Linked DNA regions of Sus scrofa. The protein of the gene in region 4 binds, or shares a complex with, the protein of the main gene of each other region. Links are inferred from orthologs where the notes say so. Each region holds a gene or a part of one and is shown on either strand. Other genes may lie near its edges.

Region 1 (2,914 bases), on a different chromosome or scaffold from region 4:
GTTTCATATAAAACTAGTGTCACACAAAATTTATTTTTTAATGAATGTTTTAATATTCGTAACATTCAAATAGTATTATTAAATGAGTGAGACCATGTTCACTAGGAGTTGGGATATAAATACACACACACATTATGTTAAGTCTACATTTCAAGTAATTTTTACAGCTGAGAACTCATTTATTTCCCACAGACACAAAATATACATAATGCGAAATAGAGAATAAGGGCCTAATAAAAATGTGCCTAACTTGGGGTACTGACTTCACCTTTGTAACCTTGAGGAAATCACCGCTTATACCAAACCACTTAAATGTGAATAACCAGAGGGGTCTGCGACAAGCATAAAAAACCCAACACCTTCTGTAAAAAACTTCTGTAAGCACCAAAAAATTAAATTCCGTCAGGGTACGGTGGAAACAAGGAAGATCTTCAATTCCTTTAAACAGGTGGGAATCTGGCTGCACATATCTACATGAAAGAACCTTGTCATACGATACATCTATTAAAACAATTTTTATTATCTTTGAAGCAAATCAGATACAGCCTCCTGGAGGAAAAAAAAAACACTCTCCATCCAGGCTTTGACATATTTTATTAGAGCAACATTTCAATGAAAGGTGGTTTTTATTTACAGAATTTAATGCATGTGGGGCTGTCCAACCCACTTGGACCCAAGTGAAGATAACCATTAAGTCCATTTATGTATTTTTTTCTTTTTCTTTCTTTTTGGCCGCACTCACAGCATGTGCAAGTTCCTGGGCAGGCATAGAACCTGTGCCACAAGTGACAACACGGAATCCTTAACCTGTTGTGCCACAAGGGAACTCCATGTTTATGTATTTTCTTATTTTCAATTTGCATACAAAAAGTTTGCTTTGCATTCATAAAAACCCCAGTATTATAAATGACAACCCCTCCCTCACCCATCCCTTAATTAAATATAAAAAGTTTCAAAAAAACATACAATTTAGATTGGTTTAATCTTGAAATGTAATCCAATAAGACTAAAAACTAAACATTTCAGGTCCTGTACCAAGTAATAAAATACTCGAAGGCCTTCAGGATCCCTAAAATTTAAAAAGATAAAAGTTACTTTTGTGCTCCTAGAATGAAACAAAATACAAATTAATTCCTAAAACAAAAACCAAAAACCTAAAACAATTAAGACAAATTAATTTAGGAGAAGGATTTGCTGATAACTAAAATGGTTATATGCAACAATTCCAATCTTTATCTTTTTTTCTGTAAGAAAAAAATACATCAATTTCTTCACCAGTATTCACCTGATATTTAAAGTATTTATATCCTTACAAAAATTATAGTTATACATCACAAAAATGCATAAGGCAAATAAAATTATAAAGATAGAAAAACTCAATACTATATAATTTCACAGTATTGGTATTTCTCTAATTTTTCATAACTAAAAACATTCCCTGTGGCCTTTTAAACATTACTTTTTATATTATACCAAAAAAATTGACAATAACTTTTAATTAATTTAAAAATTCTCTGCTTGTTATACATTCGTATTTTTTTCAATTACAAAGTTTTCAATGATCATCTTTATGAATAATAAAGTTTTTTCATTATTTCAGAATATTTCCCCAGAACAGATAAATGCTCAGAGATGAAATTAGCTGGATGAATATGAATGAAAAATATTAACAGCTTTTAACTCATACTATCAAACTGCTTTTCAAAAAACACTATCTATTTATAATCCCAGTAGGACACAAATGCAACACCCTCAGCAACTAGGAGAAAATAGATATATGACAGTTTAAAAGTATCCGGTCAGTCTTTATGAACGTAGCCTTTTGTATCCAATAGTTAATACGCATTCATTTCTTTCTTTCCTCTAATAAATGTTTATAAAGCACCTACTGTTTGTCAGGCATGGCAGGAAATTTGGACTCATGGAGTTTATAATGAAACAGGTTAAGCAAACAAGTTATTATAGTTTAGGGTGACAGGAAAAAGACAGTATAAGAACATTTAGAGGAGAAAGAATGGAAAGAAATAATGAAGGCAGAGATGTTCAGACAATGGTATGTGGCAGAGACACAGAGCTTAGGAAGACACAAGTAGCTAGAGCCATACTTAAGCCATACTATGTTTTTTTCTATTTCTTTCAAGTATTTACCCAAGGAAGAGAATGATGTGATATGGGACTAATAAGGCTGATAAATCCAATAAGGATTTCTGTTAAATTTTGTGATACTGTGTAGAGATTAAGATTTTTTGACAATCAATAAAAAATATAATGCTGAATTCTTTGATAACAAGTCATCACTGATATAAAAATCAGGATTACACACATATAAACTGATATAGGATGGAATTAAAATAATCTATAGTTCTAAAATGAGCCTCTCTAACAAATTATGTCAATTTAGTCCAAATGCTTTAACATACTCACTTTGACTGATTAACATCAATAAGAGAACCTATTTTTGATGTGGTGAAAGAAATGTGTTCATCTCCAATCACGATTTCAAGCTCCTGAAAAAAATTAAACAGAGAAATGTAGTTAATATAAAAATCCATCCCAAAGACAGTTTACTCTTGCGATATGAGGTCCCAATTTTATCTGCAAGCTTTCCAGCGATCACAGGAAATAAGAAAAAAAAAAAACTTGACCTTTTCTATAAACTATAAAATAAAAACCTCATCAACTGCTTCAGGAGTCCCCAATACTAGGATGAATCAACAATTCACAGAAACAGACTCAGACTTTTTAAAACTTACGGTTACCAAAGGGGGACGGGTGGGGTGGGGGATGGCCTGGGGCTCTGGGATGGGCATAACACACTGAAGTACATGGAATGACTGGCCAATGGGGACCTGCTGTGTAGCACAAGGAACTCTATCCAATATTCTATGATAATCTATGTGGGAAAGAGAATGGA
Region 2 (4,229 bases), about 1.2 Mb from region 4:
GGCGGTTCTGAAGGGCCTTCGCAGAAGGGAGTCTCCTGCAAGGAGCTGCAGGAGGGGAGGACTGGGGCTTGCTTGCTGGAGGGGGTTCACGAGAGGCTGGTCCAGGTGCGCGGGGGAGCGTGAGACGGCAGAACGGGAAGAGGGAGAAAAAGGGGCGACGGCCAAGTGTCCTCAGGCACAGGCGGCCCCACTCCTGGCGCCCGAGGCCTTTCTGGGCGCGGCTCCCGACGCACCGTCCAGGGCCACGCACCGTCCAGGGGTACGCACCGTCCAGGGGTACGCCGTTGTACTGCTTCATAGCTTTCAGGGCGTCTGCTTTCCGCTCAAAGTGCACATCAGCGGTCCCCAAACTGCGGCCCGATCGGTCATAGTGCACAGCCGCCTTCTTCAGAGTTCCAAACTCAGCAAAGAGTTCCTGTGAGTCCGAAAGAGCACTCGTCAGCGAAGCCCTTTTCTTCCTGGCAGCCCAGGGACACTCCCTGGAAGTGTGCACTGCTTTGGGGTATCTACCTGGGAGGCAGACGTCACGTGTGGGGGGGGCAGGGCAGTGGTAGCGGGAACTGGGGGATGGGATGGGGCAGGGGGACAGCAACTTCCAGGCAGGAGCCGTTGGGCCTGAGGGCTCCTGCCAGTCGGGGGACCTGACACAGGTACCACAGTGCAGGTAAAGCATCACAAAGCCCGCGGGGAAGGGCGCGAGATTAAGTGGCCCTCGCCTTCTACAGAGGAAGACCTACGACACGCCCGAGGACTGCGCCGAGAAGCTGCAAAGGCCAAGATCACAGAGCGAGGGGCTCTAAGCCAAGGTGGATCAGCTCGAAGGGCCCGCTGACTCGGGAGCCCTGACCCAGCCCCTCCCCCGGGCAGATTCGGGCTCACCTTTCCCTCTCCTCCTACTCAAGCCTGCCGCAAAGTCTGAAGTCAAGCGCTGCCATGGAAACTGCCCTGACCTCAGGCAGGCTGGGAGTTGGAGAGGGAACCCAGAGTGTGGGGCTACTCCGGCCGCAGGCACACAGCGGGAAGTGGAGTTCACCAAAAGCGGTTTCCAGTGGATGCCAGAAACCACCTTAAAAAAAGTGTGGAGACACTGTGAGCGCTCACTGGCCTTGCTCTGTCCCCCCACGGCTAAGTAAAACGGCTGGGCTCTGGGAGACCGAACCCAGGAAGGCCCCTCACCCGGACCCAGCCATCTGCAGGACTGACCCCCAAAACGGCATTACTTCACGAGAAAACCAGTTCAAGTGCCTTGGAGAGTGGATTTAAAAAAGAGAAAAAGAAACGGAAAAGAAAAGAGGCTTGAGTCGAAGACGAGACTAAATAAACACTTGCGCCGCTAACGAGACCCAGAGCGTGAGCATAGGTGAGAGAAAGACCGGGACCCAGTTCCACGGGGCTTAAGGCAGAGGGGACCAGAGATGCCTGTAGCACTCTGCTTCTGCACTTTGTCAGCCCTGCAGAGAAAGGGCTTTCTCCTCCCAAAGCATCACTAAAACGGGCACGAAATAAAGCCGCAGACAGCCGCGCTCTTTCAGGGACGCAGAACCACACGCGTTCAGCCACACTTGCCAGAAAAGGGCAGGCAGAGGCTCCTCACCCCCACGGCGGATGCTTAGCTACCAAAGCCGCGGTGCCTCGGCCCGGCCCGACCCGGGCCTGTCTTCCAGCGCAAACTGAACCAGCAGTTGGACTTTCAGCTCTAGCTTGGCCTTTGCTATGCACTCCAGCAGCCCCTTCCAGGGAGCAGTGGTGGCCAGCCCTCGAGGGCCTGGGAGGGGCTCACTGTCCCAAGGTGGGTGCGGATTCAGGGTCCCGGCCCGTCCCAAACACCACAGTCAGTGCTGTACAGGGTGAGCTGCTCCCGAGGAGAAGCTCCAGTCTCTTACCTGAATATCAGCGTCGGACACGCCAAAATCCAGATTTGACACCAACAGTTTCCCACCGGTCTCCACGCCGGCACCACCCCCAAAACCGCTGTCGAAAAGGTCGTGTTGCCATTTGTCAGGAAGCTGTTTCGGCTAAAGAAAAAGAAAACGCGACAGAAAAAGACCCATAAGTCGCGCTCCAGGACTCGCCCTCGCCCCCACGGCCACAAGACCTTCCCCCATCGCGGCCCGGGAGGAAGGCACCGAGAGGGGCCCGCAGCCCCCGCTTCCCGCCCGCGGGGCCGCACTTCCCGCAACTTCTCGGTTCCCTCCAACTAACTTCCCGCCGCCAGGGCGGCCGCGCCAACGTCTCCTCGGCCCCCGGCGCCACGAGGCCCGGCGTCCAGCCCAAACAAAGGCCGGTGGGGTCTCGCTTCGGGGCCCGGCTGGCGCGCGACCTCCCCCGTCCGCCCGGCCGGCGCCCGCGCCCCCACCCCCCCGGCCCGGCCCGCCCGCTGCTCCCGCGTCGCGCTGCCTGCCCGCCCCCCGGCCGCGGCCCGCCAGCCGGCCTCCGCACTCACCCTGCTGTAGGGCGCCGGCCGGTTCCTGCCGCCGCCCGCCGCGCCGCGGGCGATGGCCGGCCGGTTCCGAATGGGTCCGCCGCCTCGGCTCACTCGCGCGGCAGCCTGCGCCCCGCCGCCGCGGCCGCCCTGGGAGCCGGCCCGGCCGCGGCCCCTGCCCCCGCCGCGGCCGCCTCGCTGGCTCCGGTTCAGCTTAATGATGTCGTCCAGAGACATATCCATTTTGTCGGCCATGGCGGGCGCGGAATCGGCCTCGGCTGGAGCCCGCGCGTCAGCACGCCGGCGCGTCACTTCCTGCGCCGCGCGGCCTTTTCCGGGCCTGCGTCCTCGGAGCGGCCGCGGATTGGCTGCGAGGCGGCGGCGGCGTCGGGGGGCGGGGCGGGGCGTGCGCGCTGGACCCCGGGCTTCGGCGGGCGCCGCTGAGAAGTGCCTGTCCGCAGCCGCGGTCGTTTATATACCTTCCCGCGCGGGCGCCGGCGCCGCCAACGGAAGGCGGGTGGGGCAGCGCGTGATTTGGTTAGTGGGGGTGCGGCCGTTGGGCGGGGCCGGGCTTCCGCCCCTCCCTTGCCCCTCCTTGCACGTCCTAACCGGGTCCTGCCCCTCCCCCCGCCCCGAACCCGCGCTCGGGTCCGCGGAGGCGGGGGGAGCGGCCGCGCAGGCCGGGGGCTTGTTTCCGCGGGTGTCTTGCAGGGAGGGGTTTGGCTCTCCTCCTGACCTCGACAGTCATGTCCCTTTCAGACGTACACACGGCAGGATTTTGCAGTGGTTAACGGAAGCCGACGCCCCCTTCCGTGGACGCCCGGGCAGAAGCGCGGCGTTGGGAGATGCGCTGAGCGCCCGGTCCTCCCGGGGACCCGGCCCTTGCCCCAGCCGCCTCGCTGACAGTTTGTGCTGCCCTGCCGGAGGCGACTCCTGCCCTCCCCGACCCTCTAGAGGGCTCGGGGCGGAACCTCTTCTTTGGCTCCCAAGTGCTGTAGCTCAGCAGCCTCACCGGAACCCCGGGGGTCTCTTCCCTCCCGCAGGCTCCCGCGCCATGAAGGTGAAGATCAAGTGCTGGAACGGCGTGGCCACGTGGCTCTGGGTGGCCAACGACGAGAACTGCGGTATCTGCCGGATGGCCTTCAATGGCTGCTGCCCGGACTGTGAGTGCCCCTGCCCGCCCTCGAGTTTTGACTGCTTGCTGGCCTTGGCAGGTCCTTAGAGATACCTGCATAGCATCCCCAGCGTTTGATTTCCTTTCCCCAAGAAAGTTAATGGGGAAAGGCTAGTCAGTTTGGGCCCATGTTTGTACACGAGACGTCTGTCAAAGGTTTGGTGAGAAAAAAGAGCACAGCTTCCTGTCCAGGTGAGAGTCACTGTGAAACACGTGGGACTGAGAGATGTGTTAAGATCTTTTATTCGAAGACCTTTATTCTCAAGCCAACAAAAGAATGGAATGTTATAAAACCACTCTCCCATCTAGCAGGTCAAACCGGAAATGACATGTTTCCGTATTTGCTTTTGTCCAAATGTTTTAAAGTCAGTGCTGGAGGTAATGCTTTTTGCCACTCACTTCTCTCTGTCATTCGCCACTGCTGTCACCACAGACAACACAACGCAAGGAGACATCTTTTGCCGCTTTTGCCGTGTTCGTTCCTTCCCAGGGTGTTTGGTGAAGTGAAAGTGGTTGTTATATTCAGGTCAAGAGTTAATTTAGTTTGGGGACAGACGAAAGGGTCTCTGGCTTTGCCAAGGGGACAAGGGTGGTCCCAAGAGGGAGGTGGGGCTTGGGGACCACTGAGCAGCT
Region 3 (2,495 bases), on a different chromosome or scaffold from region 4:
TAATTTCAGGGAAGTCTCCACTTAAGACTTTGCATTCTTTATTACTGTTGTTTTTACTCCTAAAATTTTCTTAGATGGTGGTCCATTTTAAAGTCATTTGCTGGAGTTCCCTGGTGGCATAGTGGTTAAGGATCTGGCATTGTCACTGCTGTGGCGAGGGTTTACCAGGAAACTTCTACATGCCATGGGTGTGGCCAAAAAAAAGGTCATTTACTGATGGGGAGGAGAGAGAGGCAATGGGTAGTTTCTAAATAAAAACTATTTAGGCTGATTTAGTTCATCTTGAGCAAGTTAAGAAAATTAAGCAATAGATTTATTAAAAATTTACCCTAGGCATATAAAATAATACTTATTTGTATGAAATGATTTCTTTGTAGATAGGAGAAAGGAAGCAGCAGTTAGAAGCAAATTCACCATCAACACTTACTGTCATGTACTGTGGTCTGGTATGAATTCTTTTGGGTATACATCAATACCTAACTTAATGACCCAAAATCCCCTGTAAATACTTGGTAGCAATGTTGTGACATTAACATTTCCTTTTACTTTAGGATCGCCCAGCAATGCAGCTTTACCAACCAGGAGCTCGAAGCCGAAATCGACTCTGTCCCCCTGATGACAGCACCAAGTCTGGAGATTCAACCATAGACAAAAAGCAGGAAAGTGGTATTAGCCATAGAAAAGAAGGAGGCGAGGAGTGATAAGTCCCAATGGCCTTCGGTGTCCTGACTGTCTAGGCAGCCAAAGAGCACGTATTAAGCAATCCAGAAGTGCCTTCAGGGCAAAGGAATAGAGAGAGAAAGGGGGTCGCTGTGCTGGTGGGGTCCACTGCAGAGGAGTATGTTTTGCGTCAAAGCAGGAACCTGATTGCAGGTTCAGATTGGAAGTACAATTTCATTTTTTATGCAGTTCCTACAAATTAATTTTAAAGTGTCAGACAAAGCTGAGGGAGAGGACATGCATTGCAATTTGCAGGCAGGAAATGTCAAGAGAGGACTTAATTAGGTATGACATGAGAAGAAGATATGAGAACTGTCTCTAAAATCAAAAGGCTTTGTTCATCCTGGATTGAATTTTCTTAATTTCCGTGGAGCAGAGTCACTTTGAGGTCTTGTTCAGGTCTAGTTATAGTCATTGTTGGTGATAACTGTTGACTTTGTGTAGTGTAGAAGCAACAAGCATGTGATTGTAATACAGTGAAGGATATAACAAATTTTCGCTTATGCAAAAATTTAGTCATGTCTATATCCTATATCCTAAAGTTTCAGGATTCGTTTTATTTTTTTTGTTTGTTTGCTTACATGAGCTTAGCATAAAAAATTTTTTTAAGACATCTTCTGCCTTTAGCAATTTTTACATTAGTAGGTAAAGTTTAACCCTTATTTGTTGCCTGACAATCCAGTCTTTGTTTTATCTTAGGTCTCATGAGCTGAGTGCATACCCTCTCCAGGAAGGAAACTGCACAAATATTTGTTCCTGTTAAAATAGCAACTTTTAGTCATAGCTTGTTTTGCATTGATGTCAATAAATATCAACATCACTCAAGTATGAAGCTAAGTGTGTTTATTAGTTTTACTAAATAGCTATTAGTTTTGAGAAATTAAGCTTTGGGGGGTGCACACCCACAGCATGTTCAAGTTCCCAGGCCAGGGTCCAGCTCAAGCTGCAGCAGTAACCCTAGCCACAGCAGTGATAATGCTAGGTCCTTAACCACTAGGCACCAGGGAACCCCAAGAAATTAAACTTTTGATACTTAATTGATTTGGGGGGAATGTTGAAAGGGGATAAATGATAATTTGTTTCTGCCTTCACTAGCACTATCCTTTATTTTGCCCACCAAGAAGACTAAATCATGGTCCAGGAGTTCCCATGTGGCTCAGAAGGTTAAGTATCTGGCACTGTCAGTGCAGTGGTTCCAGTTGTTGCTGTGGCGCGGGTTTGATCCCCGGCCTGGGAAATTCCGCATGCTGTGGGTGCAACCAAAATAATAAATTTTTTAAATAAAAAGGAAAACTTAAAAAAAATCATGGTCCACTACTTGTGCTGTCACCACTACGCTCTCAGCCTGTCTCTGCCATGTCCTCTGAGACTCCCACATTATTATATCTGGGTCAGCAGAAACCAAGGCCTACTGTGTGGTAGGCTTGGTTCTTGGTGCTGGGGGTACAGAGACAAACAAATCCTGCCTTCATGGAGCCTTGTGGAGATGGTACGGTTCTGTATTTTATTGTGCTGGTCATTCCATAGTTATACATGTGATAAAACGGTATATAGCCCTAGCATGAGAACCTCCATATGCTGTGGGGCAGGGGGGGGCTAAAAAGACATCTATTGGACATCCCTGCAGAGACGTTGAGAAGGTAGTGGGAGTTCTAGGTTTGGTCCAGGCTGCAGAGATACACTTGGATATCATCAACCAAGATGGTAGTATTTAAAGCTATGATACTGGATGAGGTCAAGGATGGAGTGTATATAGAAGAGAGAACTCAGGGCTC
Region 4 (3,500 bases):
TGAAGTTACAGATTCTGCAGCTTCATCACTTCCTGTTTATTATCCCCATCACCTGTGATTTGAAAGTTGGGACACGTGCCTGAGTCCCACCCCCTTGAGGTGAAGATGTTGGCCGGGGGTGCGGTGGGGGAGTGGGGTCTACTTGTAAGACGCTCCCCACATGCTTCCCCGGAGCACTGCTGGACAGAGGTCACATGATGGGAGCAGTGGCATGTGGCCCATCATTCTAAATCCCATTTTTCTGTGTTTTCTCTCCTAGATCTCAGTCTGGTACAGGCAAAACAGCTACCTTCAGTATTTCTGTCCTGCAGTGTTTGGATATTCAGGTAATCTGCCTCAAACTTCTCTTTAATCTTGGGGAAATACTTCCTTTATCCGCTGTGATTTAAGAAGTACAATTCTTAAATATCTCTAGTTGTATTGGCTCAAATTTTTTTTTTTTTTTTTTTTTTTTTTTTGCCATTTCTTGGGCCGCTGCCGCGGCGGCTCAAAATTTTTTTAAGAGAATCTTAATTATTAATATCTGAGCTAATATCTTGTCAGAAAGTCTTTTTTTTTTTTTTTTTTTTTTTTTTGCTGTTTCTTGGGCCACTCCCGCGGCATATGGAGGTTCCCGGGCTAGGGGTCTAATCGGAGCTGTAGCTGCCAGCCTATGCCAGAGCCACAGTAAGGCACGATCTGAGCCAAGTCTGCGACCTACACCACAGCTCACGGCAACGCTGGAGATCTTTAACCCACTGAGCAAGGGCAGGGATTGAACTCGCAACCTCATGGTTCCTAGTCGGATTCGTTAACCACTGCACCACGGCGGGAACTCCAAGTCCTTTTTATTTAAAGTGGGAAGTTTAAAGTTTTTTTATTGAAATATAGTTGATTTGTAATGTATTAGTTTCAGGTGTACAGCAGAGTGATTCAGTTAAACATACATATATATTCTCTTTAAGCGTCCTGTCTATTATAGCTTATTATAAGGTACGAAGTATCGTTCTTTGTATCGTATAGTAGGTTCTTGTTGGTTGTCTGTTTTGTATGTACTAGTGTGTATATGTTAATCCAAGACTTCTAATTTATCCACAGCCCCCCCCCCCCCGACATTCGCCTTTGGTAACTTGGAGGATTTTTTGTTATTTTTGGTTTTTTTCTGCCTACGGCATGTGGAAATTCTAGGCCAGGGCTTGAACCCAAAGTCATAGCAGTGACAACGCTGGATCCTTAACCCATTGATCCACCTGGAAATTGAGACTCCACACGTGGGAGTTCCTGGGCTAGTGATCTCATCAGAGCTGCATTTTTGACCTCCACTTCAACTTTCAGCAATGCTTGATCCTCAACCCACTGCGCAAGACCAGGGATCGAGCCCACATCCTCATGGATACTAGTTGGATTGTTTGTTTTTGGGGGTTTTTTTTTTGGTCTTTTTTTAAGGCCGCACCCTCGGCATATGGAGGTTCCCAGGCTAGGAGCCGAATTGGAGATGTAGCCCTCGGCCTACACCTGAGCCACATCAATGCGAGACCTGAGCCCGCATCGCCGATCCTTAACCCAGCGTCGTGGGTGCTGGTCAGATTTGTTTTCCCTAAGCCACAGCAGGAACTCATAGTCAGGTTCTTAGTCCGCTGAGCCACAATGGGAACTCCTGAGGTTTTTTTTAATTAGTAAAAATTCTCATCTGCAAACAGGCCTTTCCTGTATCCCCCATTATTGCTGAATGTGCGATTTAAGTAACATTCAGGTTCATTATCTGAAATCAGATGTTATTAGTGTGAGGTAATATTCAAGATAGATCTGAGCCTGAATTAGTGCAGTCTGCCTTGAAAATACTGAGATTCTCTATTTTCTGACAAATTATTTTACCAGGTTCGTGAAACCCAAGCTTTGATCTTGGCTCCAACGAGAGAGTTAGCTGTACAGATCCAGAAGGTGAGACACTTAAAAATGGCAGTATCATATCTGTAGCATGTTGACCCTTGAACAACATGGGTTTGAACTGTGTGGATCCTCTTATTTGCAGGCTTTTAAAAATGAATATTACTACTGCACTGTGTGATCTGAAGTTGCTAGATCCAAGGGTAGGCAGGCCAACTATGAAGTCGTATGTGGGTTTCTGACTAAGGTGGGGTTCGGGGTGTCTGGAGTCTGTAGGTAGGCCAGCATCTCTGACCTCCCTCCCTAACCCCCATGCTCTCCAAGCCAACTGGTTGATTCAGTCTAATCCAGATTTTCTGTTCTATCAGGTTTTTTTCCCCTAATTCCTAACTTTTGCCGTAAATCACATATCATGTTCATTGGTTTGTACAGAGTCATTTTTTTTGCTATTTCTTGGGCCGTTCCCACGGCATATGGAGGTTCCCAGGCTAGGGAATCAGAGCTGTAGCTGCCAAGCCTACGCCAGAGCCACAGCAACACGGGATCCGAGCCGCGTCTGCAACCTACACCGCAGCTCACGGCAACGCCGGATCATTAACCCTCTGAGCAAGGGCAAGGATCGAACCCGCAACCTCATGGTTCCTAGTCGGATTCATTAACCACTGTGCCACAACGGGAACTCCATACAGAGTCATTTTTAGTGTAGCCTGTGTAATTTTAATCGATCTTTGCAATCTTAGAACTGTAATTTTTCCGACAAATAAATCCATCTTAAAAATAATTTTAACTGTTTTGCATGTGTAGTATAAACACTTTGGAAGAACGTCTGTTAAGCTGTTAATGTTATCTCTGGGTGGATAGGATTATTTTACATATTTTCTTATTTTTCTGTAATTAAAACTTACGGCTTTTGTAATAAGAAACCAGTAAGTTGACTTCATTCCGGCACAGAAAAGAGTAGTAGGAGAAGACTTGAAGGAATTTCATGATGGGAATAGTGACATAAATAACACTCAGGGATCATTTAAATTAGAATGTACAGTGATCTTCACTTTGGGGACTCATGTTTCGGACTCTGTAGGGTCTCGGGACAGACGCTGGACATGAATGTGTGTTTTAATTCAGGGCCTCCTCGCTCTGGGTGACTACATGAACGTCCAGTGCCATGCCTGTATTGGGGGCACCAACGTCGGGGAGGACATCAGGAAACTGGACTATGGACAGCACGTTGTCGCCGGCACACCTGGGCGAGTCTTTGGTAATCACTTTTGTCTGTAAGAAGTGCTTCAACAGGAGTTCCCGTTGTGGCTCAGCAGCAACAAACCTGACTAGTATCCCTGAGGATGCGGGTTCTCGAGTTTCTGTGGCTCTGATGTGACCACTAGTCTGGGAACCTCCATATGCTTGCTGCAGGCGTGGCCCTAAAAACCAAAAAAATAAAGGACCATTTTCAATTTGATAGGCTGCCTGGTGGCCTTACACATTTGAGTAACTTGTAAGAGCTGGAGGGGGGTCCCTGAGATGCAGCGGACACTGGTTGTAAGGGCTGGCTCTTTCCTCAGAGCCCGAGGTCTCATTATTTCAAACTCTGATTTTATAGACATGATTCGTCGCAGAAGTTTGAGGACACGTGC
Region 5 (3,500 bases), on a different chromosome or scaffold from region 4:
ACACAGAATCCATCAAACATGGAGGTTGCTTTTATTTTTTATTTACCCTAAAATATCTCTATGAGCTTTAGGTTTTCAGCCCCAATCTTAGTATTCAGAACAAGCCATCACTCTTTGTCTTTATAAAACTATGGCTTGATGATTTCAGTGGCATTTTGTCCCCAGACTCTCATACATGCACATTTTAATGAGTGAGTTTTAGGAACTAGTAATCTTAGCACTATATGTTCAAGACAGTATCCTCCCATCTATAAAAAGCACATACATTACTCAAGAAAGAGAATGAACTCTTTATTTCTACAGCATCTTAACATTTTGAAAATTAGTATAGAGAGGCAGTCTTATTTCTTTCCAAGAAATAATATACATCATCTTAAGATATTTAGAGATAATTCTGATTGAAGATGAGAACAAATTGTAATTTCACAAGAAAGGAAAGTTATAAATATTGGTCACTTTGTCTTACCTTTTAAACACCAAAATAAAAATGTTTTTAAATTTTAATTTTCAGGTTCTTGAATGTATAAAGCTGAGTGAAGAAACTACTACATCATCCAGTAGAATTTTTGTGAAAATATTTTTCCAAGAACTGTGTGAATACATGGGTCTTCCTAAACTTAATGCAAGGTTAAAGGATGAGTAAGTTTGTTATTCTTTTTATTCTTCCTGCCCTCAGAGGCTTTACCGCACTTTAGCAGAGGAAATCTACCCTTAGTGGTAAAAATACAAGTTCTCATGATAGTTTTCATCCATTCGTTGCCACTCTGAGTCTCCTGTATTATGTGGTACGACATGAAACTTGATGATAGTCTAGTTCTAGAGAAAATTCAGAATTAATACCTCTTTTAATTTAGTTAGAACTTTTGCATGCTCACTGGAGTTTTCCAGCAATGAGTGTTTTTAGTTTTAGTTTCATTTTTACCCTAATTTTGAGCCTTAGAATGCTAATTTTTTACTATCAATAAATTACTGTGAATATATACAAATGAGTATCACTCATGAAACTATTCAAATTTTACACTGAACTAGGGTTTTGTTCCAGGACTATCAAATAATATCAGCTTTCTTATTTACCATTTATCCAGATTGCCCGTCACCACTCACTTTGGCTTCTGTTCCATTCACACTCCTGAAGTCCTTTCTCATTTGTCTTAGTGACCACCTGCCAGTTCCAGGTGGCCTCATGCCTCTTGACTTCTTGGCCTCACACTGTTGACCACTTGTTCACTGTGGCTCCTCACTTTCCTTCATTGTGCCTTCCTCCCCTCAGTCTCTCTCTCTTGAGCCTCCCCCTCCATTGTTCGCTGAAAGTCTGTCCTGGCTTCTGTATGCTCTGGGCCAGTCCATCCCCTTCTCCTGGTTTCATGTACTTATTTATTGGTCCCTATCTGCTTGGTCAAGTTCACATAGTTCCTCTCCACACAAGTTCTGTAAGTTTACTCACCTCACAGAATTATCTCATAAGTTGCCTTCAAGCAGAATCTTAACAGCAGCACTCTGCCACACCAACACTGCCCAGCTTGTTAAGTAGTTCTGGCTCGTTCATGCATCCTAACAGAGCTGGGTATTCCTTCTCTTGTTCTGTCCATCAAACTCTTAATCATTCTTCTTACATTAAATTACCTTTACTATGAAGAATGGTTTTTCCTAACACTGCTGGTTAGGCCATTCAGTGTGGCACTGAAAACCACATTATATTGTCAATGTTTTTCTGCCTGTCCCCCTCCCTAACTGTAGTGATTGCATACAGTCTTCATCCTTGATTTCTCTTTTGTTGACTGCTTCCTCCCCTCCTCCAGTGCCTTGCAGAGCACTCTGTGTACATGGTATGTATATACACCAGAAGAGAGGGTTTTGGGGGGGGGTTTGGTTTTTTTCACTTTTCTGCACATATACTCAATGTATAATAAATAGACATATATATAGGTTTATATGTGTTCTATATATATATATTCTGAGTGTATAAGAGTGAATAAGAAAGTTTTTTAAAACCCTCTCTGTTATAGAATTATAGTAAATTATGGCTTGACCCTACTCATTTCATTTAGATAGCATACAACCAAATAAATGATTTTTAAATCACTTAATTGTATTTCATTTACTAATTTAATATATAGAAAATCTGAAAATGCAAGGATTAATATAAGGGTTTTACCTTTTTAACCAATCTGTTTTGTTCATTTTCTTTTTCTTTTTTAGAACTCTGCAGCCATTCTTTGAAGGATTATTACCCCGAGATAACCCAAGAAACACTCGGTTTGCCATCAACTTCTTTACTTCTATAGGTCTTGGAGGTTTAACGTAAGAATTATTTTCAGAAATTTATTCACCTTACAGAATTTCTCACAGTTGCCTTCAAGGCAGAATCTAATAGAAATTTTGTTTTTAATTAGGGATGAATTGCGTGAGCATCTCAAAAATACACCAAAGGTCATCGTGGCCCAAAAACCAGATGTTGAGCCCAATAAATCCTCCCCTTCCTCTTCCTCTTCTGGATCCTCCTCCTCCTCCTCCGATTCTGAATCCTCTGCCTCTGATTCGGACAGCAGTGACAGCAGTTCAGAGTCTTCTAGTGAGGAGAGTGATTCTTCATCCACCAGTAGTCAGAGCTCGTCCTCAGGTATCAAAGCTCATTTATAATTAACTCTGCCCTTTTCTCACAAGTATATTGCTGGTGGTGTTTACAAGGGAAGAGAATCATTTGATTGCTTATTTATTTTAGACTTCACTTGTTTAAAAGCCACAATTAATAATATAAACACTCATCTATCACTATTGCAGTCCATACTGAATTCAGTGTTTATAATGCTAAGATTATCTTTTGAAATACTCTTTATAGAAATGAAGATAGTCCACTGCAAATAATTTATTTGAATGCTGACTGAAATGCCATTTCTAACTTCTGTCATCTAGTTTAAGGATTAAGCTTTCCTGATGTTTATATTTTCAAGAAATTTTAATTTTTCACTTTTAATAGTGAAGCTTTATGTTAGTAATTGCCACATGCCACACATTCAGTGCGTACCTTACAAGTGAACAGCTGTATAAATTTTCATAAACAGAACACATCCATGTAGCTCGGACCCAGAAGTTCTTGTTCCCTTCCTAGTTGTTACCATTCCTCTCATCCACTGCCTCATGGCAGCTACTGTTCTAATTTGTAATTATATATTAGTTTTGCCTGCTTTTAACTTCAGAATTATATATTATGAACTCCTTTATGTCTAGCTTATCTTCTAACATGATGCTTGTGAGATTCATCCATGCTATTGCATTTAGTTATAGTTCATTCATTCTTGTTGTCGTAGTTTTTCACTATACGAATATCCACAGTATATTTAACATTTATCAATGGAAAATTAAATTTTTAGTGTTCCCATGAATACTCTTGTACGTGTCTTTTGGTGACCACATGTATATATGCCTTTCTGTTGGGTATGTAACATACCTAGAGATGGAATCGATGGGTTTTAGGTTGTATAGATACTGTCAGATGGTTT
Region 6 (4,201 bases), on a different chromosome or scaffold from region 4:
TGAGTTTTTTTTTTTTTCCATCAACACTATTAAATAGCCTCCCAGCAAAAAATACAGCTGATAATGAATTATAATTCTTGCCAAAGGCAGCTCAGTTGTGATTAAAGAACAGACTCTTTTGTGACAGGCAAATCACATCTCTGCAGATTAATGCCCTCAGCTGAAAAACAGGAGTAACCGATAACTTACCTACAGACAGGGCCCCCTGAGGCTCAAGAGTTGTGAAAGCATTCTGAAAACTGTTAAAATGCTTTTTACGTATATAAACAAGTGACTGTGCAACACTCTATAATCTATTCCTGTGATATTATTATGCATATTTGGTATAAAAAGTCATATGTGCATCCAACAGGTTCACCTGAGTATATATGGTGGATATGAAGAAGATAAAAGGAAATAAAGGAGATAATTTTTTCCCTACAGAACAGAAGGCACACTAAAAAGAGCCACACTAATTGACGCCTCACTGTACCGTCTCTCTGCCTCAAGTTCCTCTCCTTTCAATTCATTCTCCATACAGTGGACAAAGTGATAGTTAACAGATCTGATTAGGTTACTCTAACACTTTGATACCAACAATGACTTCCCACTGCCGTCTTGATAAAACCCAAATTCCTCAACATGGGTTACTGCTACGCTGAGCCCACTTCCAGGGCCACTCCTCCAAAAGTCCTCTTGCACATAGCTGGAGTTAATCAAATTACAGCTGACCCATAAACAACCTTGGGCATAGGGCACCCAGCCTCTCTGTAGTTGAACACTGGTATAACTCAGAGCCAGCCCTCTGCATCTGCAGTTCCTCTGTATCCACGGTTCCTCATCTTGGACTCAACCAACTGTGGATCATGTAGGTCTTTCCTACTGAAAAAAATTAAGTGGACCCATGCAATCAAACCCATGTTGTTCAAGGGTCAAATGTGTTTGGTTTCTGCCTGAAACACCCCATTCACTTTTTGGGTTTCGGTCTCTTCGCTGTTAATGCTTTCTGAAAATGCCTTCTTGACTCTCTGCCTAACTCCTTCACATTACTAAAGGCTCAAACCTCCACTTCCCCATGTCATCTTATTCAAGAAGTCTTCTCTGACCTCCAGGCTGGGTTAGGTGCCTTCCTTCTGCTCCAAGGGTCCTTTCTGTGTCTTTCTACCCCAGTAGCCACTACACTGTCTTGTCTTTGTTTGCTAACAAACCTATTTCCTTCACAACCGGGGCGTGTCAGTTCATTTTTGTGCCCCCATTTAGGATAAATTTTCTGTCATCTTTGATTCCTTTTCTTTCACTGTACTGGCGCCTCCCCAAATCTATCACTTGGCAAAGTCCTACTGGTTGTGCCATCAACAGTATGCCATCACTATCACTCTAGTCCCAACCAACATCCCTTCCGTCTTAACAATTCTGCCTCCTATTAAGTAGTTTTCATTCTTACCCATTCTGCACCTAATAACTACAAAACTTTTTCAAGAACATATTACATCTCTCCTCTGCTTAAAACTTTCAAATTGCTTCCTGCTGCACTTAGAACAAAAATCCCAACTCTACCACACCCTATAAAGACTATATGGTGTGACCCTTGCCTGTTTATCAGGCTACTTACTATTCTCTCCAGAGCTCACTACTCTTCAGCCACACTGGCCACCTGAAACATGTTTAGTTCATCCCTGCCTTATGGCCTTGATACTTGTTTCTCCCTCTGCCTAGAATGCTCTTCTACCTGAGAGTCACAAGGCTGGCTCCTTCTTGTCAATCAGAACTCAGTTCATATATCTGCTCTTCAGAGAGTTCGCCTATGGCCACCCTTTCTAAATGCAGTCCACCAGCAATTATACCATCACTTTGTTTTCTGACCACTCATCACTATCTGGAATCTTCTTTTTTTGTTGCTTTTTGTTTGTTTGTTGTTTACAGATCTCCCAGCACGGGAATCTAAGTTCCATGAGACGGGAAGTGTTCACTCTTGTATCCCAGATGGTGGAACAGAGCCTGGCACAAGGTAGGCGCTCAAGGAACGTTTACTGAATGAATCATTGTGGTCAGAAATGTCACTAAACAGAAGATTCTGAACACGAAAAGAACCAGTGGGGAAGACACAGTATCGTTCCTTCCAAATCGGCGCCTCACAGCCATCAGTCTCTTCCTCCTCCAGTTCCTCGCACACTCCTCCCACTCGCCCGTCCCCAGGCCTACACCTCGCTCCCGTCAGGCCGGACGCTTTTCTCACCGTCGGGTCGAAACTCAAACTCCAGGAATTCGTGGCCGAATTTGCCCTTGTGACCCACGTAGTAACGCAGATAGAAGTCACTTTCCATGGCTCGCAAAAGGTATCCGAGACCGAACTTTAAGAGCAAACCGCACCTCTGCCGTAGGCGCCCGACACTGACGTAGACAACGGCGCGCGGAAGTGACGCCAGACAACTCCGCCTCCGGGCGTAGAGCGACCCCTCCCGACCCGCGGGCCAAGTAGGCTCCGCCCCTCCTGGCGGAACGAAGCCCTTCCCCACGGAGGCGGGATTGGTGTAGCCCCGCCCCCTCAGCCGGGGAGGGAGGGAGGTTGAGGTTTGTAAGCCTGCGTCCTTCTGGGCCTGCGGTCCAAGGGGTTCTAGAGCTTGGTAGGAGGACGAACGTGGTCTGGAGTCCGCGTTTTAAGACCAAGGGCTTACACTCCAAGTCCTGCGTCCTCTGAACCTCCACCTTCCTTCAGGACACCTGTCTGTGTGAGTGGGACAAAGCCCTTTACTCTCTCTGGGCCAACAGTAAAATAGGGTTATAGGACCCAAAACTCATAGAACGCCCCGCACTACGCTGCATGTGTCTAACGTTGGCTCAACTGAACCCTGCTGTTTAAGGACCAGTTCAAGAAACCTTTCTCCGTGACGCTTTCCCTGAATCCACAGTGGAGCTTGCCATTTCCCTGTAACAAACTCGCCTGCACTTATCTCTTTCAAGCTTTTATTTCTTCCTTTGCTTTTCTACCTCTCTGGTCTTTAGAAGAGATGCTTTGAGTAGGAGTTAACTATTTAATCGCCCATTCCCCAGTCATCCAAAGGGTGGTGGTGAAATGACCTATATAGCATTCTAGAAAAACAACTCTGGCTTCAATATTGTAGACTGGATTGGAAAATGAGAAGATCAGAAGTATGAAATTCATAGGCAAAAGAGAACAAGACGTAGCTAGAGCGGTAGGGGGGAAACCAGGTGTATAGCATCCTGTAAGCCAAAATAAGAGTATTTCAAGAACGGAATGCCAACAGTGTTACATACTGCTTCCAGGTCAAGGAATATAAGGACTGAAAATATCTGCAAGGTTTATAATTAAGAAGGTCCTGGGTGACCTTGGTAAAAGCAGCCTCACTGGCATGGGAGTGAGAGGCAGAGTGGAAATACTGGGATACAGGTAGGCGAAATTTGTTGTGGAAACACAGATGGTTACCATATCTTATGAGTCAGGTCTGAGTCAGGGAGAATAGAGAAGGCTTCGGAAGTGGAATACTCAAGGACAAATAGGAATTAGCCAGAGGAGGCAGAGAAGGAAAATGTAGGCAGAGAACGCCACATGCGCATGAGCACTGCATGTGCGACACGTACTTTGGGGGGCACTAAAACATAAGTGTCAACTTTGGGCAGTTCCTTCACCCGTTTCCTCATCTCTAAAATTCAAACAATAATATTGATCCTCCACACCCCCCTCATTGAAGCATCACAATGAAACAGTACTTCCAGATTTTAAAAAATGAATTTAATCTCTAGAAAGAGTGCATTTATTTTACAAACGTCCACATTTGGTTTTTAGTTCATCAAGATGATGTAAGTCAACTAGTGAGATGCAGCACATCACCCTTTGCCTCTGGAAGAGAAACCAGACTCCAAAGGGGACCGAGTACAGAAGCTAACGGAACTTGGAAGGACAAGACAAAAAGCAGAAATGGTTAGGGGGACCCCACATTCTAACATGCCTGTTACATCAAATACAGTCAAATGTGGTCCTTGAGGGGTGCTGGGGTGGATACAAACAAGGAAAATTTTGTCTGGGTACAATGTGATGGAGTTTACAAACCAGTACTTTACCCCACATCAACAACAGCCTGAAGAGAACAAAATGCTATTTTAAAACACATGGTTTGTACAGGTATTTGTTTTATCTTGTAATTTTTGTAAAAAAGTATCAAAACCTTCATGTCTTTAAATATATATATATACATATACAGGT

The links.
Region 1: EIF4A3 (region 4) and MAGOHB share a complex: the UniProt entries of both Homo sapiens proteins name them as parts of the mRNA splicing-dependent exon junction complex. The link is inferred for Sus scrofa from reciprocal best matches to the Homo sapiens genes EIF4A3 and MAGOHB.
Region 2: EIF4A3 (region 4) and ALYREF share a complex: the UniProt entries of both Homo sapiens proteins name them as parts of the ALYREF/THOC4-EJC-RNA complex. The link is inferred for Sus scrofa from reciprocal best matches to the Homo sapiens genes EIF4A3 and ALYREF.
Region 3: EIF4A3 (region 4) and UPF3B share a complex: the UniProt entries of both Homo sapiens proteins name them as parts of the mRNA splicing-dependent exon junction complex. The link is inferred for Sus scrofa from reciprocal best matches to the Homo sapiens genes EIF4A3 and UPF3B.
Region 5: the proteins of EIF4A3 (region 4) and CWC22 are in contact, whole or in part, in a crystal structure (PDB 4C9B), measured with the Homo sapiens proteins. The link is inferred for Sus scrofa from reciprocal best matches to the Homo sapiens genes EIF4A3 and CWC22. Residues at the interface, in NP_055555.1 of Homo sapiens: Met43, Gly44, Ile72, Ile73, Lys74, Gly75, Gln98, Cys99, Met183, Gln213, Val256, Ala257, Glu259, Trp263, Asp266, Thr267, Asp270, Leu271, Tyr272, Asp273, Thr274, Leu275, Thr276, Ile277, Thr278, Gln279, Ala300, Asn301, Phe302, Thr303; in NP_001362958.1 of Homo sapiens: Thr129, Gly130, Gly131, Ala132, Tyr133, Pro135, Pro136, Ala137, Lys138, Arg140, Lys164, Asn167, Gly168, Ile170, Asn171, Lys172, Val173, Asn174, Ser176, Asn177, Ile180, Ile181, Glu184, Ala207, Ser208, Ile210, Phe211, Tyr215, Lys330, Arg331.
Region 6: EIF4A3 (region 4) and MAGOH share a complex: the UniProt entries of both Homo sapiens proteins name them as parts of the ALYREF/THOC4-EJC-RNA complex. The link is inferred for Sus scrofa from reciprocal best matches to the Homo sapiens genes EIF4A3 and MAGOH.

Annotation. Positions count from the first base shown.
Region 1 is NC_010447.5:61,431,613-61,434,526, reverse strand, and holds the end of MAGOHB (protein mago nashi homolog 2), read right to left. Parts: intron 2,508-2,914; coding exon 2,425-2,507; intron 1,070-2,424; coding exon 970-1,069; 3' UTR 501-969; downstream 1-500. UniProt on the Homo sapiens protein: Required for pre-mRNA splicing as component of the spliceosome. Plays a redundant role with MAGOH in the exon junction complex and in the nonsense-mediated decay (NMD) pathway.
Region 2 is NC_010454.4:1,097,810-1,102,038, reverse strand, and holds the start of ALYREF (THO complex subunit 4), read right to left. Parts: upstream 2,801-4,229; 5' UTR 2,678-2,800; coding exon 2,444-2,677; intron 2,016-2,443; coding exon 1,884-2,015; intron 416-1,883; coding exon 268-415; intron 1-267. Other genes in the region: ANAPC11 (anaphase-promoting complex subunit 11), read left to right, coding at 3,477-3,585. UniProt on the Homo sapiens protein: Functions as an mRNA export adapter; component of the transcription/export (TREX) complex which is thought to couple mRNA transcription, processing and nuclear export, and specifically associates with spliced mRNA and not with unspliced pre-mRNA.
Region 3 is NC_010461.5:98,184,146-98,186,640, reverse strand, and holds the end of UPF3B (regulator of nonsense transcripts 3B), read left to right. Parts: intron 1-551; coding exon 552-701; 3' UTR 702-1,995; downstream 1,996-2,495. UniProt on the Homo sapiens protein: Involved in nonsense-mediated decay (NMD) of mRNAs containing premature stop codons by associating with the nuclear exon junction complex (EJC) and serving as link between the EJC core and NMD machinery.
Region 4 is NC_010454.4:2,288,679-2,292,178, forward strand, and holds part of EIF4A3 (eukaryotic initiation factor 4A-III), read left to right. Parts: intron 1-259; coding exon 260-326; intron 327-1,857; coding exon 1,858-1,920; intron 1,921-2,991; coding exon 2,992-3,124; intron 3,125-3,466; coding exon 3,467-3,500. UniProt on the Homo sapiens protein: ATP-dependent RNA helicase. Involved in pre-mRNA splicing as component of the spliceosome. Core component of the splicing-dependent multiprotein exon junction complex (EJC) deposited at splice junctions on mRNAs.
Region 5 is NC_010457.5:85,546,838-85,550,337, reverse strand, and holds part of CWC22 (pre-mRNA-splicing factor CWC22 homolog), read left to right. Parts: intron 1-511; coding exon 512-639; intron 640-2,199; coding exon 2,200-2,301; intron 2,302-2,393; coding exon 2,394-2,620; intron 2,621-3,500. UniProt on the Homo sapiens protein: Required for pre-mRNA splicing as component of the spliceosome. As a component of the minor spliceosome, involved in the splicing of U12-type introns in pre-mRNAs. Promotes exon-junction complex (EJC) assembly.
Region 6 is NC_010448.4:158,986,771-158,990,971, reverse strand, and holds the start of MAGOH (protein mago nashi homolog), read right to left. Parts: upstream 2,801-4,201; 5' UTR 2,304-2,800; coding exon 2,216-2,303; intron 1-2,215. UniProt on the Homo sapiens protein: Required for pre-mRNA splicing as component of the spliceosome. Plays a redundant role with MAGOHB as core component of the exon junction complex (EJC) and in the nonsense-mediated decay (NMD) pathway.